4 linked regions of the Diceros bicornis minor genome follow. The protein of the gene in region 2 interacts with the protein of the main gene of each other region in a pairwise test. Links are inferred from orthologs where the notes say so. Each region holds a gene or a part of one and is shown on either strand. Other genes may lie near its edges. The genes, in order: NKG7, CREB3, AQP5 and UNC50.

Region 1 (6,476 bases), on a different chromosome or scaffold from region 2:
TAGCTCCTCATCACCCTTAGGAGAGAGTAAATTGTGGCGTTAGAGGCCCTGGCTCCCTCCTGCCTCTCTATCCTCATTTTCCTCCACCCCCACATTCTACATTCTGGCCACAAAGCACCGTTTTCCATCACCTAAAAACTTCCAGCCTTTTCACGCCTCCACCTTTGGGTCCCTCTGCCTGGATTACCTTTCCTTGGCCCTTGAGAAGTCCCTAAACAGCCTCTCCCCAGAAAGCTGACCTCCACCCTCTACGACCGGGTCAGTCTTTCTCCCGCGCTGCCATCTGGCCTGAATTAACCACCTGTGCGCACCAGACTTGCAGCCCCTCGTGGGCAGGGCCCAGGTCTGATTCACGTCAGCATTCCAACGAGGCCCAGTGGAAAGGATGTGCTCAGGAAAAGCCAGCCACAGAAGCGAATGACTGAATGAAATGAGCAGGGCAGACTAGAGCGATGGCAAGGGTCACAACATTAGAGAGGGAGCAAGAAGGGAAGAGAGCTAAAGCAAGAAAGACAGGGAAGAAAAGAGAAGGAAGGGCGAAGAAGAGAGATGGAGACAGGGAGAGGGACCCAGGGCAGTGCCTGAGTCCACACTGGTCCCCACAATGGCAGGAGCACCCTGAGGGCAGGCGGGCGGCTCTGACTCCTCCCTGGGTGCCCAGTGTCGCCCACCATGGAGCTGGCGTGTGGTTAGCTTATGTCGCAACGGAATTAAGCTCGGAATAACCAGATCTCAGCCAATTTTTGTTGAATGGATGAAGAAACAAATGAAGGGGGCTGGGGAAGGGCTGGAGGTGAGGGCTGGAGGGAGCGTCACGTAATCTGCCAGCTCCACCTTCAGAGAACAGTGCTCCAAACTCATCCTGCTGTTCTCGCCCTCGGCTCACATGGCTTCATAGCTGGGCAGGGGGGCACGGCAGTGAGCACCCAGGCTCAGGCCACCTGGGGTGGTAGAGAGAGGTTAGCGCCTGTCCCACCCTGCTCCCTCAGAGCCCCTAGCTGGCCCTCCCGAGCACCTCCCGAGCAGTCACCTGCGCAGAACCAGAGGAGAGCTGAAGCCCAGCCCAGGTAGAAGGACCAGGAGAAGAAGGTCTGGATCTGGGGATGTGGAGGCTGGCTCCACCGCTCGCTGGTGTAGACCACCAGGGCCACCGTTGCGAAGAGGCCTGAGGACAGAGACATGAGAGACTGCTCAGCTCCTCTGCAGGAACTCACCAGTCCCCAGTGCCCAAGGGCAGCCCGGAGCCCTTACCTGCAGCAAAGGCTGTGACAGAGGAGACAAGGGGCCCGCGGCCCGGGGCAGACAGTGAGGGGATGTAGGACAGGACCAGGAAGCTCACAGACACCAAGCCCCCCAGGGCAGCCAGAATGCTGAAGGCCTGCGTCACGTGGATGTAGCCTGCTCAAAGAAGAGACCTCTGAATGCCCATCCCATCTGGTCATTCCCCCCACCCCGCCCCGCAAGAGCGATCTCTCCCTGTTACCTGCTACTGCGTCCTGATCCGCCTTTGGCCAGAGCCCCGAGTGAGCTGAAGCCTTGGGCCCCATGGCCACGAACCAGTAATCCGTGCTCAGAGCAACCAGGACAGATGTCAGGCCCAGGGAGCCAACGAGCAGGGCCAGGGACCGACAGGGTTCCATGGGGTCAGCTCTGGGTTTCCAGGTCCTGGACGATGAAGAGGCTAGTGAACCAGACTCCTGGATCTCTGAGAGAGGAGGAGGCTGTGTCCCGGGACTCCTGGATCTTCTGAGCTCAAGAAAGAGAAGCTGGCAAGCATTGGGGACGTGTGCTCCTGAAGACTAGGCTGGTTTGGTTTCACCCAGTTCCTGGTAGCTGACGTGTCTCACCCTCCCTTCGTGGGTTGCACTGACAACGTCCTTCCCTCCCCAAGGTCGTTAGTGTGTAGTGGGGAGCACTGAGGGTGTCACATCATCCGTGGTTTAGGTGGTGATTCAGAACTTGCCTCTCTGCCTCAGATTCTATGCGTCCCACCTTAGAGCCCTCAACACCAGAGAGGGCTTCCTGGGAGAGGTGAGAGAGAAGCTTGGGGGCACAGAGGTGGGAGGTGACGAATGAGACCAGAGTGTGAGTTAAATAGGAGGGGAGATGTGACCAGAGGGGACAGTTGGGGGATGTGTCATACTTTCCTGTGGGTTTTGCTATCTTCCGTTCTAGGAGGGGGGGGCCCCAACTCGAGGGTCTTCACAAAAAGAAGGGGGCTGGAGAAGGAAAGATCTGGAGGCCTGGGAGAAGAAGGGACAGGTGGATGGGGGGCTCATACTCCTGGATCCCTGCTTGGAGTTATGCCCAGGGCAGGCAAATGGTGGAGAATCACAATTCTAAGTTTGTGGCGAGGAAGACATGCCCACATCCTCATCTGATAAGTGAGTTCACAGACAGCTCTGCTTTGAGTAGGGCCTCCAGTGTGGTGGGCTTCATCATCAGGATCAGAGCCTGCGGGGCGGGTGACACAAGACTGTCAGTGCAGGACCCCCCAGCCCTCCAAGCACGAGCCGCCTCCCCCACCATCAGGTTCTGGGCGACGCACCACCTGTGAGCAGATACAAGGTGAAGGGGCCACAGCCCAGGAAAACTTAACCCCTGTGAAGTAGGGACTGGCCTGGAAGAGGTCCTCTGTCGTGAAATCCAACTGAGTCGGCAGTCCCTGGACAGCTGGCGAAAGGGAAAACCAGAGTGACCAAGAGGCCGGGTCTTCTTCCTTTATTGCAGACTCCAATTTGCAGGCCCCCGTCTGTCACCCAGACCCTCACCAGTGGGGTAACTGGCCACGCTGAGAACATGCTCCTGAGGACAGGCTGCCAGAGGTGGATCCAGATCATGAGCAGCGAGAAGCCAGCACAAAAATGACTGTGGACATGGCTCCAGTGAGGAGCATCTGGACAGGCTTCAGGAAGTGTGGGTGATGGGGGTGTGGTAAGGGGACAGTCAGAGCACAGAACCCATCTGTGATCTTGAAGCCGTTCCAAACTCAACTCTACCCATAACCCCAGCTTCGATCCCATCCTTAACCCCATCCCTATTCTCCAACCTAACCCCATTCTCATGCCCAAACCAAACGCCATCCTTAACCCCAGCTGCAACCCCAAACTCAACCCTATCCATAAGTCCAGCTCCAACCCCAAAATCAACCCATCCCAATTCCCAAACCTAACCCTATTCTCATTCCCCAACCCAACTCTAAACTCAATCCCATCCCCAACCCCAAACACAACCCATTCCTTAACCCCAGCTCCAACCTCTAATTTAACCCTATCTGCATCCTGCAACCTAGCCCCATTCTTATTCACAAACTCAACCCCAAACCCAAACCCATCCTCATCCCTAGACTTAACCCTATCCTCATTCCCATCCCCACACCAGATCACATTTCCTGTCCCAATTCCAACCCTAGTCCCACCTCACTTCCTTCTTCATACTTCTCCCCAACCCCTGTAATTCCTACCTCACCCCCCTATTTTCATCTTCATCCCACCTCCAGGTCCAAGCCTATATCCCTCTTTCTCGTCTCCCCAAGTCCCACTACCACCATCATCACGCACACACATGCATGCACATACATGACCTGCACCAGGCTCCCGCAGACTTCTGCACACATAGGCATCACAGGCTGACCGTAGACCCAGGTCCTTGGTGGGCCCTGCTGCACACACCTCAAGTCAGTAGGGGCAGACAAAGGCCGCCAGGAAGAACCCCAAGGAGAAGCAGCTGAACACGACATTGAAGAGGGAGTTGTCTCGCAGAACCTCCATCTCTTTCCTTGACAAGATTTGAAGCTCTCCAGAGCCCTCATGTCCCCAGTTCCACCATGCTGTCCCAGTTGTTGGTTCCTTTCAGTCTCTACCAGTCTTGTCCAAGCACTGCAAGTTTTTCCAAATCACCGGGGTCTCTTCCAACGTTCTCCAATTCCTACCAACTTCTGCCAGGCTCAGGGGTTCCTCAGCAACCCCCAACTGCCACAGAACACCTCCAACATCATCACCCCATGGAAGTTCTGTGGCTCTGCCCAGCCCTGAGACCTGCCTTGACCACCTGGGGACCTGGTCTCTATTCTATTGTTTTTGTCTTCAGAGCTGAGGTCCCCCCAGTCCCAAGGCCCCACCCTCAGTCTAGAGCACTGTACCCATACCCCCAACCCAATTATTATCTCCCAGGCCTTCCTGTACTTGGCTTGATCCCAAATGTCTCTCCTTCTGCCACTTCCCATACATTCTCAGACCTCAGGAACTTGAAGGCAGGAACAAGGTTGGATTAATTTGGGGGCCCCCAGCACCCAGCATAGAATCTGGCAAATAGGAGGCCTCTGGAGATATTCAATTCAACCAGCCCCTCTTGTAGTTCAGGCACTAGGTTAGGCCCTGGGGGCACAGTGATGCACAACATACTCGGGACCCTTGCCCTCATTGAGCCTACATTCTATTATAGCAAAGAAATGATGGCTGTTTATTTATTTTTTTTATTTTTTTGAGGAAGATCAGCCCTAAGCTAACATCTGATGCCAATCCTCCTCTTTTTGCTGAGGAAGATTGGCCCTGGGCTAACATCCGTGCCCATCTTTCTCTACTTTATATGGGATGCGGTCACAGCATGTCTTGACAAGCGGTGCGTTGGTGTGCGCCCGGGATCCGAACCTGCAAACCCTGGGCCGCCGAAGCAGAGCGCCCACGCTTAACTGTTATGCCACCGGGCTGGCCCCATGATGGCTGTTTATTAACAGTTATTATGGAAAGTGCCATAATTTCCATTGAGGCTCACTCTTACCAATATTTAATGTGGTCTATTTTGATGATAAAAATATATTAAATCTCAATAAATATCAGAGTAGGCCCCAACAAATAATCTAAGTTGATAAATATCATTATCAATTGACCTGAATAAATATTTAGTTTTCAACAAATATTATTTTGAGCGATTACCATGTGCTGGGTGCCGCCTTATAAGCACTGAGGATGTAGAGATGACCAAAAGCAGACACAAATTTCTCCCTCAGGGGCACCACCATTCCAGTTGGGGATACAGATAATAAGATAGATGTAAGAAAAATATATAGTATGTTTGTGAAAAGTGCTGTGGGGAGGTAAAAGCAGAGAAGAGGGGGAGGGTTGTGATTTTAGATGGGGTCGCCAGAGACACCTCACTGAAAAGGTAACTTTGAAGCAAAGACCTGAAAGACATTTGCGAAGAGTGGTATAGGCAGAGGTGGGCTCATGCCTGGACAAGCACGGAGGCCAACAAGGCTGGAGCAGAGTGACTGAGGAGCAGAGCAGTAACATTGACCAAAGAAAGGGTTGGCCTAGCCCAGCTTTTGGGAAGGAACCTCTAAGTCCTTGGAATGCCTGCCTGGTAAGAGTGTCTGTTTACCTGGGGTCCTTGGGCCGCGCCAGATAGTCGATCATGTCAACGTGGTTTATGGTGGGGGCTTTGAAACACACGGTATCAATATGACCCCTGGAGAGGCTGGAGACCAGCCATATGATTTCTCCATGCCTGCAACCCTGACCTGGACACTGGACAATAAGACTGGACACCAAGGCTCAGGTGAGCTTCCCTGGTGGGCAATGTCGTGTGCATATTGTCACACGTTGTCGCTGAGAGAAGTAAGTGCTGTCTGGACACTCCACTGGGAGAGACAACTGGAAACTCATTTCTGATCTCTCCTGGACGCTGCCCTGTGAGCCCCATCCTTTTGCTGATTTTAATCTGTATCCTTTTGCTGTAATAAACTGTACCATGAGTGTAATAGCTTTCTTGAGCTCTGAGTCCTTCTAGCAAATCATTGAACCTGAAGCAGGTGTTGAGGAGCCCTGAATTGCAGTGAGTGAGGGAAGATGAGGTCAGAGAGTTAACAGAGTCCAGAACGCATGACGCTTCATATGACCTTGATAGACTTCAACTTTTCATCTGAGATGGGAGCCACTGGAGGGCTTAGAGCAGAGGAGTGACTTGATTTGAGTCATGTTTTAACAAAACTCCCTCTCGACGCTGTGTAGAGAATGGACTGCACGGGGCAGGGGGTAGGGAAGGGCAGAGGCAGAGCTGGTTAGGCTGTGGCAATAAGCCAGGTGAGAGATGATGGTGGTTTGGACCAGGGTGGTAACTGGATGAGCAAGGCATCAAATTCCAGACAGTTTAAAAGAAGAGCCAACACTATTTGCTGATGAATCAGATGTGGGATGTAAGAAGGCAGCTGAGGATGCTCCCAATGTTTTTGGCTTGAGCAGTTGGAAAAAATGGAGTTGTCATTTACCAAGATGGGGCACACCGTGGGAGGAGCAGATGTGGAGTGTGAGAGATCAGGAATTCAGTGTTAGACACATGAGATGTGAGATGCCTCTTCTTTTCAAGTGGAAATGTGGAGTAAGGAGTTGGAGATATGAGTCTGGAGTTATAAGTATGAAATCACCATTATTGCTCGAGGAAGCCCCTATAAATATGATTACTGGAAGAAGCCTCAGTAA
Region 2 (7,290 bases):
CTGGCAGGCTCCCCCTTGTGTCAGAAGAGTACATAGCAGGTACGAGGAGGAGACAGAAGGAGAACAGTAGGACCTGGAGTACAGGAAACAGGAGGTGATGAAGGGCTCTTGATTGCATCCCTGTCCCTGCTGCCTGAGAAGAGGATCTCTCCTTCCATCAGCATCCTCACCAGAACACAGGTGCTGCTGCTGCTGGTTTTGTTTGATATCTGAATCATCATGGCCTGGAGTCTCCTCAGCTGATCCAGAAGAGACCTAGGGGAAGAGGGCAGTGAGCAGCCCCTGGCCTGGCACCCTGAGATACAGTGAAACCCTCCTGTTAAGGCCACTCCCTCCGTCTGTGCACTGGATCCTCTCTTACTTTTTGCAAATGACTTCTCTCTGTGGACAAAATGCCTGAAGTTCCTCATTAAAATATCCCTCTGCTCTGGCGTGACTTAAAACTCTTTTGCACATACCTTCAGTACTTCCTACACTGCCCCATCAGCTATGCACATAATTCTCACCAGGCATTCTATGTTCTCTTCCTTCTGACTCCACTCATGTTAAAGAGTTCCAGTCAGACTGGACTATGCTGTGGTCTCTACCTAGAATACTCTCAACACCCCCACAAGAATCCTATCTGCTATTAAATACCATCTGCCCCATGAGGTCTTTCTTACTCTTTCTCCTCTCTCTTTCTTGGTACTTATCATTAGTTACTTGTGAATTTACTCGCCATTACTGTGAGCTGCTTGGAATTAGAGACCCAGTAAGGGCCAACCACCAGACCTTGCATGTGGGAGCTGCCCAGTTAGAAATCAAGTGTGGAGCAAAGGAAAAAGTGAGACAGCGCCAAATAGGAGGGATGAGAAGGGACTGATGTTGCAGAGCTGCTTACAGATTCTGTTCCTCCAGGAGCTGTACTCTGTTCTGTAGCTCCAGATTCTGGGCTGTGTATTTCAAGACCCTAGGGGAATAACAGGGATGTGGGGATGTGGCCTGTATCCTCCCTTCAAAAACCTAACACTTGCAATACTTTTGGAAGGTATTGGAACTCCAATTCCAATACCCCACCACCGAGTCCCTCTCCCGTTTATACCTGTTCTCTAAACCCCCCACATACACCTTCTTCTTCCTGCGGCTCTCCTGAGCAGACTTTTTGTTTCGAATCTTCCTCCGTACTCGTTTCAGAACTTGTTCTTCCATCTGAGAGAAGGCAGGAAAAGTTATCATCAGAGGAACACTGGACCAAAGAGTTGGAATGCAACTGAGTTCAATCTTCTTCCCAGTGCAGGAATCCCTTCTACAGCTTCTCTGACAAACAGGCACTTGGCTTCTGTCTGAATGCCTCCAAGGACCAGGTGTTAATGCCCTCATAGGCCGGACCCTTTTAATAATTTTAATTAAAAAAAAAAAAAACCTTCCTTATCCTGAGCCAACATCTGCCTCTCTAATTTCTAGCCTTTGGACTTACCTAGTACCTAATCTCTGGGGCCATATAGAACAAATGATCTTGAGCTATTTTAAGGCGCTTGACATTTCTTCAGAGTCAAAAAAAATCTGGGCAAAATTTTTAACTCGTCATCTTATCAGTATGGACTGCATCCGTTTAATATCTGTCAAAGATCTGGGTTCAAAACTAAACACTCAGATGTGCTCTGGCCAGTATAAAGAAGAGAGATAGTCACTGCCCTTCTAGAGGCAACACCTCTATTGATTACAGCCTCCAAACCCCATTCACTTTCTTAGTAGCCATATCACATTGCTGACTCATCTTGTACTTTTAAGAAATTAAAATTCTCTTAACCTTTCTGTCAGTGAATGTCGATTTCATCACAGTGTCACAATATTGTGCTTGTGAAGTTGCCATTTGTTGCTTGAAACTTAAAGCTCAGAATTTTACATTTATTCCTGTTATATTGCTTGGTCCAGCCTTGATAAACTCTCTAAAACTTAATTCTACCATTCAACAAGAGGTGGATTACCACGAAGCCAGTGAAATGTGTCAGGGCCCCTCACTTGCACAGTCCTTTCCAATGCCCTATACTAATGTTGCACTGATAATGTGGAATTCTTTTTTCTTAAAGAAAACACCAAAATTTTTATAAGCCCCACAAAACCAGGAGCAGCTCTTGCATCCAGCATATTAACTACATGCACCAGCTTCCTATTAGCAGGGAATTTGCTAAATTTCTCACCTCAGTCCTTTTTCAAGTTACTGATATAAAATTAACAGAATTGGCCTACTTGGGGCTCAACTTCCTTTGCTGCCTTGCTCCACCAATGGGAGTCTTACCTTAGTGAGAGGAAGTGTCCCAGGCAGAGTAAGCCCCTCCTTCTCCAACAGCCTCTTCTCCTCATCTGTCAGTATCAGCCTAGCAATCTCCTGGGGTTCCAGGGAGGTGGCAGCAAAGTTGCAAGGCAATATCAGAGAGGAATGGGGAATCCTACCTCCACCCATGCAATGTGGGAATATTCCTCCGTAAATCAAATCAAGTACCTGCTCTGCTGGCTCCTCTACATGCAATGGAGTCATCTGGGCCCCCTCTTTTCCATAGCTCCCGCTATCTGCAAAAGAGAAAATATGAATAGCCAAGCCCATCAGTCCTCTCCTCTCCCAAAACTTCTCTTACTTCAGACTCACCTAGATCTATGGAAATATGTTCCTGTGGTACAGAGTAGGTGTGATCATGGTGGACAGGACAGGAGTTAGAAGAGTTGAGAACGTTCAACGACGCTGGGGGACTCAGCAGAGAGCTCAGGAAATCCTCGGCCTCCCAATCCCTCAGTACCTGCACAGGGTTCAAATTAACAGGCCTTGACCTATCACCACCCCCTGCCTCAAGGACGCCCCCCTCCCCGCCCCGCGCCTCCCCGACTCGGAGCCCGTACCCACCTCAGAAAGCGGCAGCTCCCAGTCTAGCGGAGCCTCCACGGCCTCGTGGATCGCCGCCCCCAAATCTCCGCTTTCCTCTAGCAGGAAGTCCAGCAGGTCTTGGTCACCCGGGTCCGACGGCAGCTCCATATGGGACATCTACGGAAAGGATGCGTAGAAACACAGGGGTTCGCCCCTCCACCTGGCCCCAACCCCGAACCCCATGCAAGACACTCCCCTAACGTCAGTCCGTCTTCAACCGGGCTTGCCCCGGAGCTGCTAGCCGACGCTCTCAAAGGGGACACGCCTCCTGAACTCAAGTCTCCCCGGCTTCCAACACAACGGAAGTGACGCCCATGCCCCCAAGGCATTCTGGGACACGGAGTTCCCCTAGTGCGGAAGTGGCGCCACGTCCCGGGAGCCATGCAAATCGAGGGGGCGGGCATTCTGCTGCTTCCTCACAGCCTGAGGGCGGGCATTCTGGGATGCGGCTCCGCCTTCGCCCCAAGCTAGAAAAAGGAAGGATTCGAGCCTAAAAGGGAACTGGGGCGTCTTCTCCGGATCGCGCCGCAGCCTTGCTTCCTGCCAGGGAGGGCCTGCGGGTCTTCGGAGGGTTCCCGAGCATCGAGAGCTGGGGCCAGAGCAGCTTCCTTCAGTCCCCGAAACCATAGAGCGCGGGCACAGGGCGCCGCCCGCGGGTGGGGGACGCTCCGGGGACGGAAGTGGCCGCCGGAGTGTCGAAGGGAGGGCGAGGCCGGAGCCCGAGAGCCACCGGGAGGACGAGCGAGCCCGGTAGCGGGCCGGCGGGCGGGGCACAGAGCCGGGCAGCGCAGGTAGGCCGGACTGGGCCCAGCCGGAACCTCAGGATGGGGCCGGGAGGCGGGCGGGCGGGGCCCCGACCCTCCTGCGTCTCCTCCTGCGGGTCCTGTTGGAGAGGTCAGCGGCCAGTGTATCTCGGTTTGGGCTCGGAGTTAAGTAGGCCGTTTTGCGGGAGCCAGCCCCCTCCTGGGAGCAGTCCTCGGCCTGGGATAGGTTTTGGGGAGGGCGAGGAGTGGGGTGGTAGTGAGGCGCAGGGCGGGGATCGGCTTTGAGGATCAGCGGGTATGTGGATAGGAAAGCTTTGGGTGAGTTTGGGATTAGGTGGAGTTCGGTTTAGGACTCAAGGTTAGTTTTAGGAGGTATGAAGCCGGGGTTAAAATTTAGTGTTATTAGTGTGAGTCAGGTCCGTTTTATGTAGGTGAAGTTTGGATTACGGTCATTATTTTGTTTTTTAGGGTGGCCAAGATAAGTCAAAGTTACGGTTCAGGGTCAGGTTAGAGGTCAATAACAGGAATTAGGTTGGAAGTCTAGTTTTAGGGATAAGAGAACGTTGGCATAGTCAGTATTAGGGATAAAAAGTGAAGAGGTGGGTCAGGAATCAAGTGGCAAATGAGCTTTAGACCTAGGGGTCAACATTTAGGGTTAAGGTCAGGGGCTTTGGTGCTTTTTAGCACCATTTAAAGGTAAATATTAGAAATCAGGGATTGGATACAGGTGTCTGCTAGGAAAGGGGTGAATGTCAAAGCCAGTACTGGGAAACAGGAAACACATTAGGGTTGGGGTTAGTGTTAGGAATTAGGGGCAGTTTTAGGGGTTGTGGTTGAGGTCAGGATAGTGGATCTCGGACACGTGAAATTTAAGATTAGTGGTAGGTAGAGGCCCTGTTTTGCGAGGAGGTCTCTCATTTCTGTGTAGTCGCAGGGGCTTCTTTGGCCCAGAGAAATGACAGACTATTTTCAGGCTAGGGTTCTGGGTTTCAGCTAGAATTGCAGGCATCTGGGACTCCAGCTGCTTTATTCTACTCTCTAAGCCCAAGGCTCTTGCTGTGGCCACAACAGTTGAGGGGCAGAGGTTCGTGGACTATGTTGTTTACAAGATAGGAGGTGGGAAAGGGACAGGGACCCAGGAGATGTGTAAGGCCTAGTCCTGAGTAGGGGACTGCCTAGAGGAAAGGGGACTGGTGACTAAGGGGGAAGCAGACCAAGAAAACACTGTTGCCACAGGAGCGGGGGATGACTGATCCTCTGAAAGTTCAGCCCCATTGCTTCCCATTCTCCTCATTCTCTCAATGTTAAGCTCTCCACTCCAGCTCTCCTCCCTGGCCCTGCATTTCACACCCTTCTTGCATACCCCCTTACAGAATGCTTCCCTTGTCTTTAACTCTCTCATGTTCTTCATTTTGCCATGTGTTCCCAGCCTCAGTTTTGCCTCTCTTCCCACCCCTTAATCCGCACACATCCTACCTTAATTTACTGTCGCCCAACTCTGAGCTTTCCCATCATCTTAAAGCACTCTCCCACCATTTTCACCCGCTCATCTACCTGAATACCTCCTGATCATCTGCTGAATACTCCAGCCCCAGCCCAACACAACTGCCAAGTACTTCCGATGCCTGCTGTGTTCCATCCCTGATTCTAAGCCTTAATTTCTTGGTCCACTTGTAGATCCCCTTCCCCCACTCCCCTGACAGAAAAGAGGAAATGAGACCCAAAGAGGAAACTGGGTCTTGCTGATCCCACGCCCAGCCAGGCCACTGACCACACCCCCATTTCACTCCCAGCCTGACCCTGCCACTGACCACAGCACTATCCCCTACCGAGCCTGACCCAGCCACTGGCTGCACCCCATGCACCACCCCCAACTCCAGCTTTACTTAGACACTGCTGGTGTCCCTTCACTCTTTGCCCATCCCATCCTAATTTAGCCACTGACCACAGCTCCCTCTCTTCTCAGTCTCGTAGCCTGACCTGGCTTCTGACCTCACTGCATCATTCCCTGACTTAGCCACTGTCCACATAATTATTCTTCCGTTTCCCCCAGCCTGATCTAGTGACTGATCATATATGTATTTTTCCTACCATCTTCCCCAGCCTTTCTCTACACCTCATCTTCCCCATTTCCAGCCCAATGCAGTCACTGACCTCATCCCTTCTGCCCCTCTACCTGGTACTAACCACATCCCCATCCCTTTTTCCCTCAGCCTAACCACATCTCCTAACCACAGCCTCATCTTCACATTCCCAGCTTGTCCTTATACTTTCTTTCCCCCCTTCCCAATTCCTGACCTAAACTCAAGCTGCCCAGCCACTGAGTGACTGCTGATGACAAGAAGCTATGGGACCCCAGCCTGACTTTGGGCCCTGGTCCCTGAGGGTTGACAGGACAGACTGTCATCAGTTCCTATCAGTTCTACCTCTTAAAATTTCTGATGAGTGACATCCTCTCCACCCTTCTAACTCTGGCTTCATTACCCCTCACTTCTGCTAATGCAGTATCCTTCTAACTAATCTCCAAGGTAACTGCCAGAGTTATTTTCCTAAAATCTGGTTCTGGTTATGTCCCGTCTCTGCTGAAAGCCTCCCTTGGCCTCCTGTTGCCCCCTAGTAGGTATCATTCCTCATACTCTCCCTAGTTCTCACCAGCCTTTCCATCCTCATCTTAACTTCCCCATCACTGCTCCCTTGCAGGTATGCTGCGCTTCAACCAGCCTGCCTCTCACTTCCCTGAATGCTCCTCCACGATTGATTTCCTGCTTCTCCACCTTTGCTTATGCTATTCTCTCTGCCTGGAATGCTACCCCTGACTCAGCTCCAGCTGGCCTAGTGGAGAGAGCTTGGGCTTTGGAGTCAGAGAGACCTGGGTTCGGATCCTGTCTTCACACCTCATTAGCTGTGTGACTTTGGACAAGCACCTTGAACAAGTGTTTAACTTCTTTGAGCCTCAGTTTCCTTATCTGTAAAAATGGAGATAATGACACCTACCTTGCAGGGTTGTTGTAAGGATTAAATGAAATTATGTATACAAAGCAATTGACATATAGTCAATAAAAGATTGTTAGTATTTCTTATTATCTTTACTTTTTAAAATCCTAACTTCAAATGACACTTTTCATGGAGACTTTTTGGTCCCCTTTTCATCTAAAGGGATCTCTCCCCTGAGCACACACCTCTTGGCTCTTACCACATCCTGCCCTCTTTTACAACTGTATTTAGTTTATCCACTCAGCTGACTGGGAGCCCCTTGAGGACAAAGGCTAGGGCTTACTTTTCTTGGTTCCCAGCCACTCAGAGTTTGGCTGGGGGCCTTCCCCACAACAGACCCTCAGAAATGCTTGCTGGATGAATGGAGGGAGAATGTCCACATAATAGGAGGAGAGATGTTGGGGCGAGTTGTGTGCTTGCTGATAGAGGTGTATTTATGGGGAAGGTGTGGGCATGGGATGGCGTCTTTACAGGAAGATAACGTGGTTGTGATGGGATCTGTGTAGGGGCTGCATGTTTGAGATAACATATATAGAGACAGTGTAAGTAGCTTAGTAGGAAAGAGCTCTGTGCGCAGGCTGGGGTGCATTTGGAGAGAATAAATATGCATGGATTGGGTGGAGGTGGGGAGGG
Region 3 (7,426 bases), on a different chromosome or scaffold from region 2:
CTGGACATAGGGAGGGAGGCGGTGAAGAGGGCAATGTGCTTGTCCACTCCCACGGGGTCCCCGACTCTCCCAGGGTCACCCAGCAGTTTAGGGGCTCAGCCATGGCTCCAACTCAAGTCTCCGGATTCCTAAGCTGGTGACCTCTCCCTCAACAGGTCCTGACGCCCCTCCTCTCTTCTCTGTCCTCAGCTTGGGCTTGCTTTCCTGCCCTCACCCCAGCTCCCTCCCGCGTACTCCCATCTTTCCTCAGGCTAGAGAAGGTTTTGGGGGATCAAGTCTGGCCAGAGTACAGTAGCCCCACTCCAGGCCTTAACTTCACTCAGTGGTCGGGAGGGGTGCTGCTCCAGGGCCCCATTATTTGCCCCGAGGGGCTCCCCCCAACCCCAGCCGCGTGGCAGCACTGCTCACCCCCACGAGGTGGCCCAGTGTGACGGACAGGCCGATGGACAGGGCTGGGGAGCCCACAGGGCTGGTGCGGCGGGAGTCGGTGGAGGAGAAGATGCAGAGCGCCAGCTGGAAGGTCAGGATCAGCTCCACCACCATGGCCTGGCCTGGCGTCGTGTTGTTGTTGAGCTGCAAGGGCAGGATGGGTTGGACCTCTGCCTTCTCCTGGCTGTATGGCCAGGGGCTTGGGGGGATGGGGCTTTGGGCCTCTAAGGACACCTGGAAGCCCAGCCCTGAGTACATCACATCAGGGAGGTCACTTGCTGAAATGACTATCTACTTCACAGTGTGCACAAAGCTTGGAGCTCAGGCCTGTGGCCAAAGGGCAGAGTATGAGGGGAGCTTTTCCTGGACACAGTCCTGTCAACGGTTCTGCCCAGTCCCCAACCCCCACAAGCTGGCACTTACCCTCCCTCCTGTGGGCAGCTGCCCAGTTTGCCTACTGCACCCTCCAGCCTGCCTCCCGCCCGTGCCTGACTTGCTGCCAGTACCAACCTCAAACCCGTCTCTCCGGTGGGGCTGACTCACGGCTTGACAATGGCCGAGAAAATCCTCCTCTGTGTTTGATTAATGAACCCAGTTTGCATGGGCCATGGGGGCTGAATCTGGGGCTTGGGGAGGAGACAGCAAGGGGCCAGGAGCAGGAACCAATATTCAGCAGAGACCCTATGCACTGGCTCTGCTTTAGGCGATCCCACACATGGTTTCTAAATGGAATCCCCTTGACACCTGTTGTGGTAGCTTATGATCATCCCCACGTAATGGCTGAGAAAAATAAGACCCAGAGAGGCCAGAGTCACCCGAAGCCAGGATTACAACCCATTTCTCTCCAATGGTTACATGAAACCACTCCACTGAGGAGGAGATAGGGACTGTGAGGGGCCCAAGAAGAAGGCAGAACTCAGAGATGAGCCACGAGAAAAGGAAGAAGTTTCGGGCAAGAAAGGAGGGGCAGTAGGCACCAAGAGAGGCCAGGACGGTGCAGCAGGAGCGGAGAGGGCAGAGGAGTGGGTATGAACCAGGGAGTCTGGGCAGGGGCACAGCCAGCCTGGAGATTCATCTTCCTCAGCTTAGAAGGCTGCCACCTCCTGGCCCACTCTGTGGCACCCATTCTTGAGATGGGCTGTGGGTGCCTGGTCCGGAGCCCGCCCCAGGGTCCCAGTCCCACCCTCAGCCCCATGGGCACTCACCGCGTTGACTGCCAGATTGCCCCGGGCATTGAGCGGTGCCAGCCCATAGAGGATGCCCGCCCCAGTAATGGCGCCCATCAGTTGGGCCACCACGTAGAAGACAGTCCGGAGCAGGGAGATCTGATTGCCCACAAAGAGGGCCAGTGTGATGGCGGGGTTCATGTGGCCTCCGCTCACAGGCCCCAGGGCCTGGACCAGGGTGCCTATGGCCAGGCCAAAGGCCAGCGCGATCTGCAGGATGGAGGGCAGCGCCGACGGCCACTTGAGGGCCGAGCCGAGGCCTAAGAAGACGAAGATGAGAGTGGCCAGGAACTCGGCGAACACGGCCCTGAAGAAAGCCACGGAGCACACCTCCTTCTTCATGGTGGCCTCGGAGGCGGGGCAGCTCCGGCCGCGGCAGGGGGCGCCCGTCGGGGAGGCGGCAGCGGCGCAGGGGGCGGCGGGCTGGCTCTCAGCTGCTGGGCAGCACACCCGGGCGCGCACTGCGTGGCTAGCGGCCTGGGTCAGGCCCTGCAGGGGCGCGTTATATACCCGGCGGGCGCCCAGCGCGGGGGGGGCAGTGGGCGGCTCCCGCGTCCGGGGGCCCGCGCAGCACGCAGAGTGGAAACGTCGCCGCAGCCTCGGGCTCGCCGCAGTCTCCGGCCCCGCGTGCCCCTGGCCCAACGCCCGCCTCCCCGACGGGGCAGCAGCGGACCCGCCTGGACCACGCCACCCAGGCGGCGGTGTAGACGGGCCCGGCAGCCGGGGACCCGCGCATGGTGCACTCCAGGCGGCTCGTGCGCTCTCCTCCGCGCTGTGTCCCCCAGGCTCCCTGGGAGACTTGGCTGGGTCGGGGCTGTCGGGTACTACCAACTTCTGGGCGTCTGCCTCCGCTGGGCCTTTATCTCCGGCCGTGGTCTTCCCCTTTTCTTCTCTTCGGTCTCCGGGTCCAGCTCCTCCTTTTCCTCCTGTGACCTGGCCATCCTGACCCAGCCTCACTCCCGGTTGAGCTGGAGTGGTGCGATTCCCTGAGGACAGCGCCACTCAGCTCCAAGCCGGCCGGTGGCGGGGGCGGGCGGCCGGGCTGGGCCTCTACCCCGCCCCGGCCAGGCAGGCCTCCGGGGTTGGAGTGGGGGCGTTTTGGGAAAAGTGGCTCCGTGCCAGCCTGCCTCGCGCTTGTCGATCCTCGACGCCCAGTAGCCAGGCAATCCTGGGAAGAGGAGGCAGACCCCGGGAGGCGCCCCTCCTCGGCAGCTGTCGCAGCCCCTCCAGGAGCACAGCCCTCTAGGGAATCCCAGCCAGTCCCCGAGGGAGGTGGGGGCTAGGAGTTCCCTTTGTCCATAGTACGGGAGGGGGCATGCCCGGGTTCCGTTTTGTTTGGGGTCAGGGAACAGGCCCTGGGACTGTGGCGGAGGGGCGGAGGGGCGGAGGGGGGTCCGGGAGGGTGCAGGCACACCACTGCCCTTCCACGCCGGGTCTCGGCCTCGCCGCCTCCCTGCCAGAAGCCCCCCCACGCTGGCTATCCGTTTTCCTTGTCCTGCTCCTCCTCTTCCTCCTGCTCCTCCTCCTTTCAATCTCCTGAGTCTCCTCTTCTTTCAGACCCACTCTCAGTCTTGAATTCTCTCCCTCTTGCAATCTCTCTGCCTCTCCTCTGTCCTTCTCCTTGTCTCTTCCTCCAAACCCGGGCACTGTTTTTCACTTTTTATCTCTCTCTTCAGTCTCCCTGTCCTTCTCCCTCTGGCAGTCTTTTCCTGAATCTCTCTCTTTCTCATTTCAGGCTCAGTCTGTCTCTTAGGCTCTCCCTCTCTTCCTCCCGCCCCACCCTCCCTTTTCAATTTCCCTGTTTTTTTCCTTCCTTCCTTTCACAGTCTCAGCCTTAGTCTCCCTATCTCCGTCTCTCTATTCACCTCTCAGTTTCCATCTCCTCTTTCTCCGTTCCTCTGCCTCAATTTCTGTGACTTTGTTTCTCCCTATCTCTACCTCATTTTCCATGTCTGCCTCTCTTACATGTGGGCTTTTTCAGTTCCCCCAAAGTCAAGTCCTCCCACCCCAGGGCTGGGTGACACTTTCTCCCAGTTCCCAATCCCCCGCCTGCTGTCTTTGCCCCTTCCCTCTGAGCTCCCCGCTGTTCTCCACCAGCCCTCCCACCCCACCCTCTTCCCATCCCCAGGTTAGGCATGTGGGGAATGAGGCTGGAGGGCCCTCCAGGGCTTGGAGGAGGGGCAGGGACCCACCCCCAGGATCCCAGGAGAGGAGTTACACTGAAGACCCCACCACCACTCCCGTGATGTGTCCTTGGGAGGCACTTAGCACAGTGCCTTGCACAGAGTAAGGCTCAGTAAAGTTTCCTCATGTTGTGACTATCATTTAAAAAGCCCCCTGAGGGCTCTGTGTGGAGCTACGCCCCCGGAGGGTGCAGCAGAGGGAGAGAACAGGTGCTCCTCTATCAGTCTGTCAGGCCATGGCTAAAGGGAGGGGCCCAGAGGAAAGCCAAGGATCTGGAGGAGCGGGCTCTGTACTCCGTGGCAGGTAAGAAGCCAAAGAAAACAGGGACCAAAGAAACTCCACTGTTGTTCCTGCTCTGCTCCCAGTTTCCTGCTGGAGCAGCTCCTCCCCCAAGTCTCTCCTCTTTAGGCAGGAGGTCTGTCTGTCTTTTCTGCCGTGGGTCCTGGGGCCCTGCCCCTGGCAGAGCATGGCAGCTGTATACAGGATTTTCATCTGGGCTCAGGGCTCAGGGCGGGCCTGGCCCAGACTGGAACAATGACCCTCAGGACCCCAGAGGCCTTTGGGGGCCAGGCCCTTTCACAGTGGAACTTGCCTCCAATCTGCACCCTTTCACCTTCCATCTCATCCTCTCTCTCCAGGCACTGTCTTCATGAATCATAGGTCGCAAACTCCATCATCTTGGAGAGGGCAGGACTTGGCAGTGCTAACAGGAGGCTGGGCCACCAAGGGAAGCTCCTACCTGAGGACTTGAGGCCAATTTTTTACAGCTAACCAAGGGCTTTGGCCTCTGCTGTGTGACTTAATTCTGAGCTACTTGTGAGGCATCCAGACTCAGAAGTGACTGCTTTGCCCAGGGTCACACAGTGACCTGAGATGGGACTCTCGGGGTTGTCAGGAATGGGCCTGGTGTGGCTGAAGAAGGAGACCCCATCTGTCAAGGCTGCTCAGAGGGGGCCGCTGGTTACGTTTCCTAGGCCTGTGCTTGAGCCCCTTCCATCTCTCTCTAACCATCAGGGGCACTCAGTCCCTAGGGTGTCACAAGAAACTCCTGGAGCTACGGTGTCCTGGAATTGTCTTTGCCCTGCCCTGCCAGCCCCAGAGAAATGCTTCACTGGGAACTCTCTGGGCTGGGAGCTGGGTGTCCCCATTTGTGGCAGTGGCATTAGAATCTCTCCGGGAGAGCCCCTTCCCTCTTCTCCTGACATAGGGACCCCTGGATTCCCTGGGAGCAGTTGGGGGCTGGGGGCAGAAATGGTAGGTTAATTGGCAGCAGGTGATGCCCCCGGGGCTCCACATATTCCCAGTGTTGGGGAAGAGTCATTCGTTCCTTCCACAAAGATTTATTAAGCACTTACTATGTACCAAGCACTGTTATAGGCACTGGGGATACAGCCATGAGCTAGCAGAGAATGTCACTGCCTTGTGACGCTAATATGCTAGTGAAAGGAGACAAACAATAAACACTGGACATACATAAATCATATAGTACGATAGAATCTGTAAGTGCTATGGAAAAATAGAAGATGTTAAAGGGGACTGGGTGTGCTGGGGTAGGAATGGAGTTTCTTTGAAATTTTAAATGGGTTGTCTGTGTAGGTCTTATTGAGAAGGTGACATCTGAGCAAGGACTTGAAGGAGGAGAGGGAAAGAACCATGCACATATCTGGGGGAAGAACATTCCAGGCAGAGGGATCAGCCAGTGTTGCTGCAGCAGAGGGAGCAAGGGGGAGAGTAGGAGATAGGACAGAGGTGACAGAAGTGGGCAGAGCTTGTGTGCCACCGAAAGGCCTGCAGGCTTCACTGGAGAGAGTAGAGGCCTAGCGTGGTCTGACAGAGTCTTTAACATGACCCCTCTGCTGCTGTGTTGAGAAGAGCCTGGAGGGGCAGGAGTGGAAGGAGGGAGACAGGTAGGCGCCTGTCCAGAGAGAGATAGTGGTGGCCTGGATCTGAGGGGTGGTGTTGCAGGTGACAGTGCTGGGATTCTGGATCCCCTGTGAAGGCAGACCTGACAGGATCCGCTGATGGAGCTCTCCTGGCGGGTGAGAACGAGGAGTCGAGGATGACTCGAGCTCTTTGGCCTGAGCAGTTGGAAAGATGGAGTTGCTATGGGTTGAGATGGGAGGACTGTGGGAGGAGCAGGTGTGGGGAGAAGAGCAGGGGGTCAGTTTTGGACATATGGAGTGTTAGGTGTCATCCCAGACTCTGGAGGTCCCTGCCCTGACTTCCCAACACGGTGCTACAGCCAGCATGAGGGGACCAAAAGGGACTGTTCTTTGCTCTCTCTGGAGGCCACACAGCCTGCCCATGTCTTGGTGCCCTCTCTCTCCAAGGTGACACCTGGGTCACAAAGGATGCCCATTTTGGCCAGGCTGGCAGTGGGAATTTGCCACCACATGCCACCTTGGTTGAGCTTCTTATTCAGCATTGAAATCCCCTCTACACCATTCCTAACAGCAGCTCTGGGGAGCTCATGACATGCCAGAGACCCCAGTCTGTCTCTTGGCACCTTGGACCGTATTGACCATTTCTAAGCTGTGGAAGAAACGGCACTTATTGGCAAATGAGCATTTATTGAGTGCCTACTATATGCAGAGCACTGTGCTAGACAAGACAAATGATGGAGGATAGCTAGGAGAATGCCATCCAAGAACTGGAAGGAGCCCTGCCCCAAAGGGCTTACAGCCTAGCTGGGAGGCATTGAATATAAACAGAATCACTGCTTAGAGATACAGAACAACATCAAAGCAACATCTGCAGGTACAAAGTCATCTGGTACCGAGTTGGAATTTGGGAATGGATGCTGCTGGGACCCAGTGGTCAGCCACTTCCTCCCTTCAGCTCAGAGGCTTCTTTGTCCCCGGCTTGGGGAGCTAGAGGCCTATGCACCTGCCTCCATGCGGCCCTGCCTCTGTCTGATTTGGGGTGTGTCTGACCTCCACTCTCCTCCAGACTGGGTGCTCTCCAAAGGCAGAGACCAGCCCCATGTTTTGTCATTTTTCTCCCTGCCGTGCTGCGGCCCTGCCCCAGGCCCTGTTTCCAATAAGACAGTGGGTTGGGCTGGCCCAGCTGTGTGCTGTGGCTCCTGCCAGGGGCTCCCAAGAGGGGCCTAGGACTTGCCTCAGCGTAGACCTGGTCTCCTCTGACTTCTCAGTGGAAAGATCATGGGATTTTGAATAAGAAGGCCTGAGTTCAAGTGTTGGTTCCACTGTATACTGCTGTGTGACTTTAGATCAGTCTCTTAGCCTCAGTTTCTTAATCTGTGAAATGGAAAGAACAGCATTTGCTCTGCCTATCTCACAGGGTTGGCAGATAATCACAGTACAGTATAGGGCTGGGCTCACAGTGGGTCCTGACTGATACTTTGGTAAGAGCAGTTCTGCTCTGAGCCCAGGGTGGTCTTGGCCTGGAATTATCCAGAATGACCCCTTAATTGCCCGATAGGATGGTCAGAATCACCTATGCTGTCAAACCTCTTGTCTCAAGTTACCTGCCACGTTTCTTAAAGAGTAATGCGTCGCTTAAGGATGCGTCGTTCGGCAATTTTGTCCTTGTGCGAACATCATACAGTGTACCTACACAAGCCTACC
Region 4 (7,615 bases), on a different chromosome or scaffold from region 2:
AGATAATTAACTCCATTTTACAAAAGAGGAGACTGGGGCTAAGGGTTCCACAGTACTGGCGCCTAAACCCAGGTCTCTCTGTGACTAAAACGTTCCATGGTGTTTTCTCTGATATACAAGGACCACCACCCCTACTCAGCCACTGGCTCTCTACTGAGCTCACTCCCCACATCCATTCCCTTCACCCAGCATGCCAGCCACACAGGAGCACTCTATCTGTGAGAAACTGAAAAACCTAACACGAGATTTATACTTAGGACACTACTGTTGTTAAAGCAAACCCAGACAAGTCAGACTGAGAACTCTTCCAATAAAACCTCTGCGTGCATGTCTCTCAGCAGGAAGGCACCAAAAGTTTTGTAACAACAACAACAACAAAAACCCCTTTTCAAGTGTACTTCATTTAAAGCCAAAGATTCCATGAAATAACCCTCTGGATCGTATACGACTACAAGTGACCCACTGACAAATGCCACAGAAAATTGTGCCATCACCCAGACAACTGAAGCAGAATTGGCTAACTGCATAATATTTTTGCAAAATCGGGGATTTTATCAGTATGATATAATCATTATTTCAATTTACTTATTTGCTGCACTTTGACAATACAGACCATCCTTATCTTCTGATAATCTTGGCAGTCAAAATTGATGTTTTCATTCGTCTATCTCGTTTTACTTTCCATCAGCTACTATACCTCTGAAGCAAGCAAATGGAGGCTCTAAGCAGCATCTGAAAAACCAAAGTTATGGTACTTACCACATTAAAGTTGATATGAGAAGACCAACGCCTATACAATCTATGAATACAACCCAAAGGAGAAGCTTTATCGTCTCAAAGAATCCCATGTCCAGCACAAAGCCAAATCCTATAGTGGATACTGGAAAAGATTTACAAGACGCATTCAGGCACTTTGCTGGGTTCTAGGGATATGGGGCCCAGTCCCTGCCCTCCAGATGCCCACAGTCTAGTATGTAAACAGAACCCCAAACATGTGTTCTATGTAACTGATTAAGAAATGCAGACCACCTTGGAACACAAAATGGCCACTGCGATATCTGAAGTTTCCTGAGGAGGCCCCTGTCAGTCTGTGGTTCACCAGGGTAGCCCCAGCATTTAGAACACCACTAGTACTGAAAAAGCGTTCACATATTTAAGTCCAGGTGAAGGTGAAAAAAATCTTACAAACTTCAACACACTAAAGCTGGTTAGGACCCTTTCACTACACTACTGGAGAACTCAAGTAGTTTCTCAAGTTCACATCAGTACTTTTACAACTCTCACTCTGGACCTGCCTGATTGTGAAATGCAATTTCCAATCTCAATATTCCTTTTCACAGTAAGTTTGCATTTGGGTCTTGATTTATTTATCACAGTACTTAAAAGACAGAGTGATTCTGTCCTCTGCTTTTCAAAGCTCCCAGGTAACAGTTTACTCTGGCGTCTGCTTGGGACCTTAGAACCAGAAAGAATACAATCCTGTTTCCTCTGAGGAGATTTCTGAGGCCTCAGAAAGGAAGCAACTGCTTCAAATATCCCCAAATTCTGACCCATAATACATTTATAACAAAAGATTCTCCAAATGACAAGTCCAACGTGAAACACTCAATTTCTCCTTCAACTCTATTGCAGGTAAACTAACACTTACCACAGAGCCAGATACTTAACAGGACCAAGAAAGCAGGGTCATCTCTGGCCCACTGATCCTTTGTCTGCTTTCGATAATGAAAGTTTCTATAAACCCTCTGTGGGGACGTAAACAGGTAGAGCATCTGCCAGGCAGCAAACTCAAAGTCCATCTGCCGAAAGCGAAAAAGCCTTCTCAGGTATTTGTAGCGCTTTGCTCCAGCCGTGTGTCTTGCTGCATCCCTGGAATTCAGGGCTCCGTTCCCCTGCACTGGGGAATTCATTGACATACTTGGTAACATCTTCCTAGATACAAGAAAAAAATCCTTTTACAAGTCATCTCAAGAAACAGCTGGCTCCCATCACCCCTCTTTTGAATTATCCAGGAGGAAGATCACTTTACATTTCTGCCCCAATCCACGAGAAGAGACAGGGGTCAAAAGCGAATGGAGTTGTTTCTAAGGCTTGTTTTGGGGGCTCGAGAACTGCCAGCTGCACTTCAGGCAAGGATGGTACCACAGCCTTCTAAATCACCGTAACAACACTTATTCACACTTCACCTCCCTCAATCCTCAGAGAGCCCCCCCAGGTAGCTACGGTGAGGAAGGGAGGGAGGAAACAGACTCCCTGAGAGGTGAAGTAACCCCCTCTTGAGCACACAGATAGTGATGGGGCCAAAATTCAAATTCAGGCACTCTTGCTCAAAATTCCGCGCTCTCAACCATCAAGCCTTTAAGGGAAAGCCTTTCTTGAAGCCAATTAGAAACAATGTTACCGACGAGATAAAATAAGTGGCCTAATCCCATAGGTCCATCGGCGCGTGACCAGCAAGCAACTCTTTCACTAAAACGTGATACAAAACAAAGCAAAACTCCAATCCATAGCGTTTTACTCCCTGAATGGTTCAGCAGGGGGAATGACAGCGTGGGAGTCCCCTGGAACCAGTCGGAAGCCAGATGAACGCAGGTCACCGCCCGGCCCCCCCGCCCCGGCAGCCCAGCCCAGCCCAGCCTCCGGCTCCGCACCCCAGGCCTCCGGGACGCCAGCAGCGCCTCGCCGGGCCCAGAGGACCCCCGCCAGCCCGGGGCCGCGGGCAGGGTTAACAGATTTAGCAAGTAAAAACAAAGGACGCCCGGTTACATTTGAACCTCAGACACAAGAATATTTTTAGTATGAGCGTGTCCGAAACATCGCCTGGGCCACACTCATACTGAAACACCACTCGTTGTTTATCTGAAATTCAACTGGAACTGGGCGTCCTGGATTTCATCCGGCAACCCTCCGGCGGGCCGAGCAGCGGGACCCGGACACGGTCCCTCCACGGCCCAGGGAGGTCGGGCCGCGAGTCGCCGGAGGAAACGGCACCAGGCGAGCCCGAGCCGCGCGCGGACCGAGCGGCCCTCAGGCCTCACCTGGACCCCGCTGCGGCCTCCGCCGGGCGCCAAACTACCCCCCACCTCCGCCCAGCAGCCGAGCCCAGCAGCCGCCGGGCCAACTTCCCTTCCCGCAACGTAGCCAGCGCCGGGGACGTGACGCGTCACGTGCGCCCACTTCCGCCGGAAGTTGTTGCTGCCGGTTTCCGGTTCCTTCTGCCGCGGGAGTCGCTTGCTCCCGGCGGGTGGCGGCTGGTGCGGCCTGAGGGGGCTCGGGGCGCTGCGGGCGGGAGGCGCAGTCATGCCCCGGTATTACGAGGACAAGCCGGAGGGCGGCGCGTGCGCGGGCGTGCGGGAGGACCTGGGCGCCTGTCTGCTGCAGTCGGACTGTGTGCTCAAGGTAGCGCGGCCGGGCGCTCGGGCGTGCCGACGCCTGAAACCGGGCGGCGGGGCCCCGGGAAGGGCTCGCGGTCGGCCTGCGGGGGCCGTCAGGAGGCGTGACTCGGAGTTAGCTGTCCGGGGTGTAGACCACAGCTCCAGTTTAAGGAACTTGGGCATATGCGCTGTCGGAGCCTCAGATCCCTCCGGTGTTAAATTGGAGATAACGATACCGCCCCGTTGGGTTTTTTGTAAGGATTAAACCACTTGCGTTCAAGCAACGTTTATTGAGGGCCGCCACTCTGGGTTCTGGAGATGTAAAGAAGAATAAGACAGGTTTCTTGCGCTCTAGAAAAGGAGAATTACATAAACCTGGTACACTCCTGGCTCGTGATTTCTCCTCTCCCTGTTCAGTTGTGGCTGAATATGTACTATGTTTTCCCGGTGCTGGTTTGAATTGGTGTCTGAGTTGCAGTTGTCTACATTCTTGGGTCAGTTGTAAATGAGGCAGCTCATGTTGTCACCGTTTTGTATCTTGTGTCCCGTGCACTCGTCCGTCACCACAGCCACACGTCTTCTCAGGAGCCAGTCTGGACGGAGTGCGGCGCGCAGTGAGGGTCAGAGTTGCCTGGGGACCTGGGTTCCAGCCTAGAGCCCAGCTGAAGCGCAAGTGCGTTTTCCGATCACAAAGGCCTGATGAGAAGGGCAGTCGATTGTGTGCAATTATTTTTGCATTCGGAGATGTAATTTCAGAAAGTTGGTCTTATTTCCAAGAAAAGACAACTACCACAAAATGGACATCCACCATAAGGCTAGATGAGTGTTTCTACTGATTCACGATTTACGTTTGGTTCACTGATGTTAGCAGTCAGCCAGACTGGCTTCCCAGTGTCTAGTAAAACTTCAGAGTTGTTATGAATTTAAGTGGTTATCCAGTCTAGCTCTTTTTATACGGATGACGACACTGAGGTGCCCTGCCTTTAGGCTCCCCTGTCCAGGGCTGTTTCCAATCTGCTGCTTCATATTCAGCCAGCTCCTAGTAAATGCCTGTTAAGTGGTAGGTGTGATGCCAGGCAATGGTGATACAGGGATGAATCAGTTACAGTCGCTGCCTGTGTAAGCTTGGTCTGATGGGAAGAATAGACATGTAAACAGGGGCTAAATCCCTTGATAAGGGCTGTGTAAGCATTTAGTAAATATCTGTTTAATGAGTAGATTTAGGAGCAAAATGCCTTGGGAGCCCAGTGGAGAGCAACTTATTTTGCTTGAGAATTTGGAAACTTCTTACAGAGGAGGTGACATTTGATTTGAGTCTTAAAGGTTGAGGAGGAGTTGATAAAGTAGAATTGTGGGGGCTGTGGTGATTGTGGGAGAATCTGAAAGAACAGCATGTGCAGAGTTGGGGAGATGTAGGAGGGCCTGGAGGATGGAGAATGTGACAGAAGGCTTGAAAGGAAGGTTGCCATGTGTGAAGGCCCTTGTGTGTCAGAGTGAGGAACCTGGATTTTATCCAGACATTCAGCATCAGGAAGGCCATGGAGGTGAACAATCAAAGGAATAAAGTACAAAGAGTAGGACTGAGGAAAGAAACTCAGGAAGTAGAGGAGGATAATGGTGGCAAGGAGAATACCAAGTTGGTTTTTGCAGTCATTGATTCGTTTCTTTAGCAAACATTTGAGTGCTAAGCTCTAATTCAGAGGACATACAGATGAATGGGACATGTTCACTCCTGTGTAGAAATTGGATCACTGGAAAGCTGTAGGCAGAGATAATGACCAGGACACATGGCACAGACTTCGTTTTTGCCTCGTTGAGTATGTGGCCTTATTGATGCTGAATTAGGTCACTAGCAGAACCTGATGTTTATGAACAGTCCCTTAAACGGAAGTGCATTTACAGGTTGTGTTAAATTCATCCTGAATTGTGACTGTAGCTGGAGTGTAAAAGGGCAGTACTGAGGCCAAACAATGAGTTTTGCAGATCCAGGACAATATCCTGTCTTCTCGGATGGTGTCACTGGCAGCTACAGCCCACCACTCCCCATAGGGACTCTGAAGACCAAGGGAAGTTCTGCTGAGGTCTCTGCCTGCTCTGCATGGCCACCTCATTTATGATAAGATTTTTGATTCCTTAGCTCTTTGAATAAAGAAGTTAATCTGATCTTTTGGCAGATGGATGCTGTAGTCTCTCCTTGCTCATCTTTAACTCACCTGAAAAGCTGCTGGACCTCTAGGGAGGAATTGAACATAAACAAATATTTAGTTCAAGGTCCTGGGATGGGAGACAGTCAAGGAACTGGAGAGGCTCAGAGAAACTCAGGGTAATGGTGATAAGGAGGTAACCTCTAGTGGGGCTAGAGAGGAGAAGCAAGGAAAAAGATTCAAAAGGCATCTCTTAGACAGACTTAGGATTTTATAACTCCTGAGGGATAAAAACGGTTGAAACTATGCCCAAGGAACCTCAATCACAAGTTATCTCCTTTGTGCCTCTATTAACAGCTTCCAGACTTGCTGATTCCTCATCAGAATCACCTGGAGATGGGGGCCGAGAGCTTACAAGTACAGACTCGACTGCTCCCCCGCCTCCACCACAAATAATTTAGAAGTATCCCAGGTTGATTCTTGGGCACAGCCATGTTTGGGAATCACCAATCTTGACCTCAGAAGGCAAATAAGCTTGTGAGTGTATTAGTTAGGATCTAAGTTCAGGTACACGTTACAGAGACCCAGAATAACAATGACTTAAACAAGATAGAGAATTCCCTTTTGCTCTTGGGCCTATAAGTAGAGCCTGGAGAGCTCCTCTCCGTCTTCCGTGGACCCATACACCATTGATCTTGTGGTTTTAGATGCTGTGATGGAAGATAGGATGTTACTTTCACACTCATGGTCTAATATCGCCTTGCTTCCACATCATCAGGCTAGTAACATGATGGAGTAAAGTGGGGAAGGTGGCCAAGCCACTTTCCTTTCAGGACCAACCCAGAAGTTTTACCTTTCGGTTCCCCCACATAATCCATTGGCTAGATCTTAGTCACATGACCACACCCAGCTGCAAGGGTGGCTGGGAAATCTAGCCCAGCCAGACGCCCCACTTTTTAAAAAGGAAGAGTAGATATTAAGGGACAACTAGCAGTCTGCCATTTGGAGTGGAGGTGGAGGAAGATGAATTAAGATTTCTCTTTTAGGTTTAGTGTATCTAGGTGGATCTTCCCACCAGGCAGTTGGCAGTACGGGTTGAAAGCTTGTGAAAAAGATGGCATCTTAGCTACAGTTTGAGGAAGCATCGGTTTATAAATTATAGTCTTTTGTATAGTTACAGTCTTTTATCTTCCTCCCATTGTTCATGTGGGCAACACACATCCCATCAGCAGCCCCTCATGACGGAGTTTGGAGGAGGAACATAATAGTGCAAGGAAGCTTTCTGCTCTGTTCTGATTCACTTTTGAGATTCACTGATGCAGATGACAGTTGAAATCTAGGACCCAAGCAGACATAAGGACTAGGAAGTGGCCAGGATTCCTGGGGATGAGGAATGCCACAGATGTGGTATCCTGCAGCTTTTTCCACAGTAAAAACTAGGAGTGTGACTGGCACTTGCAAAATAAAGGTTTTGGGGAGTAGTTGCAGTGGTGGGATTGTTGTGTCAAAATCTGCTGGAGAGGAAATCCCTGATGACGAAGAGCAGGTGAAATTTGGGTTACATCTTTCCTGGTGCATGAACGCACCAGGTGTTTCTATGTAGGTAGTACTCTAGTCGACCTCACTAACGTCTGTCTAAAGTGTTTAGTACCAAGACTAAAAGTGTTCTGATTTTAGGGCACCTGATTCTGGCTGTTTGAACTTTTAAGGTTAACACTGAATAGGGTCATTCTGATTCTCAGACAAAGTTGCTTGACTCATTTTACGTTGGAGCTCACCTTCAGTAGGAAGACTTCACGATCTTTATATTGTCAAGCACTGTGTAAGGCTAATGTTTATAAGCAGTGTGTTTTACTTTTATTATTTCTTTAATAGTAATGTAAGGTTTTGACTTCTTTTTCCTTGTGAATTGCAAATCATAGTTTGATGTCATTAAACCTCAGGTGATTCAGAAAATTCAAGTTCCATCTACTTTTTCCAGATGTTATTTTATATATTTACATTCCCGGAAACCAAGCCCCCTTAGCACCTCTCCCTGCTTGTTACACGCTCACACTGCCAGTCAGCGCTTGTACGTGCCCACCTTTCCTAGCTGCT

What was found.
Region 1: the proteins of CREB3 (region 2) and NKG7 interact in a two-hybrid assay, tested with the Homo sapiens proteins (2 studies listed by BioGRID and IntAct). The two-hybrid records come from large-scale screens. The link is inferred for Diceros bicornis minor from reciprocal best matches to the Homo sapiens genes CREB3 and NKG7.
Region 3: the proteins of CREB3 (region 2) and AQP5 interact in a two-hybrid assay, tested with the Homo sapiens proteins (2 studies listed by BioGRID and IntAct). The two-hybrid records come from large-scale screens. The link is inferred for Diceros bicornis minor from reciprocal best matches to the Homo sapiens genes CREB3 and AQP5.
Region 4: the proteins of CREB3 (region 2) and UNC50 interact in a two-hybrid assay, tested with the Homo sapiens proteins (2 studies listed by BioGRID and IntAct). The two-hybrid records come from large-scale screens. The link is inferred for Diceros bicornis minor from reciprocal best matches to the Homo sapiens genes CREB3 and UNC50.

Annotation. Positions count from the first base shown.
Region 1 is NC_080773.1:26,976,783-26,983,258, reverse strand, and holds NKG7 (protein NKG7), read right to left. Parts: upstream 1,736-6,476; 5' UTR 1,641-1,735; coding exon 1,484-1,640; intron 1,399-1,483; coding exon 1,252-1,398; intron 1,166-1,251; coding exon 1,031-1,165; intron 942-1,030; coding exon 883-941; 3' UTR 731-882; downstream 1-730.
Region 2 is NC_080767.1:4,150,602-4,157,891, reverse strand, and holds the start of CREB3 (cyclic AMP-responsive element-binding protein 3), read right to left. Parts: upstream 3,209-7,290; 5' UTR 3,017-3,208; coding exon 2,879-3,016; intron 2,775-2,878; coding exon 2,627-2,774; intron 2,551-2,626; coding exon 2,483-2,550; intron 2,369-2,482; coding exon 2,279-2,368; intron 1,189-2,278; coding exon 1,082-1,188; intron 950-1,081; coding exon 881-949; intron 256-880; coding exon 171-255; intron 74-170; coding exon 1-73. UniProt on the Homo sapiens protein: Endoplasmic reticulum (ER)-bound sequence-specific transcription factor that directly binds DNA and activates transcription. Plays a role in the unfolded protein response (UPR), promoting cell survival versus ER stress-induced apoptotic cell death.
Region 3 is NC_080756.1:19,837,779-19,845,204, forward strand, and holds the start of AQP5 (aquaporin-5), read right to left. Parts: upstream 3,399-7,426; 5' UTR 1,998-3,398; coding exon 1,635-1,997; intron 574-1,634; coding exon 409-573; intron 1-408. UniProt on the Homo sapiens protein: Aquaporins form homotetrameric transmembrane channels, with each monomer independently mediating water transport across the plasma membrane along its osmotic gradient. Plays an important role in fluid secretion in salivary glands.
Region 4 is NC_080779.1:14,717,824-14,725,438, forward strand, and holds the start of UNC50 (protein unc-50 homolog), read right to left. Parts: upstream 3,129-7,615; 5' UTR 3,039-3,128; intron 1,933-3,038; 5' UTR 1,929-1,932; coding exon 1,649-1,928; intron 881-1,648; coding exon 760-880; intron 1-759. Other genes in the region: cytochrome c oxidase assembly factor 5, read left to right, coding at 3,301-3,399. UniProt on the Homo sapiens protein: Involved in the cell surface expression of neuronal nicotinic receptors. Binds RNA.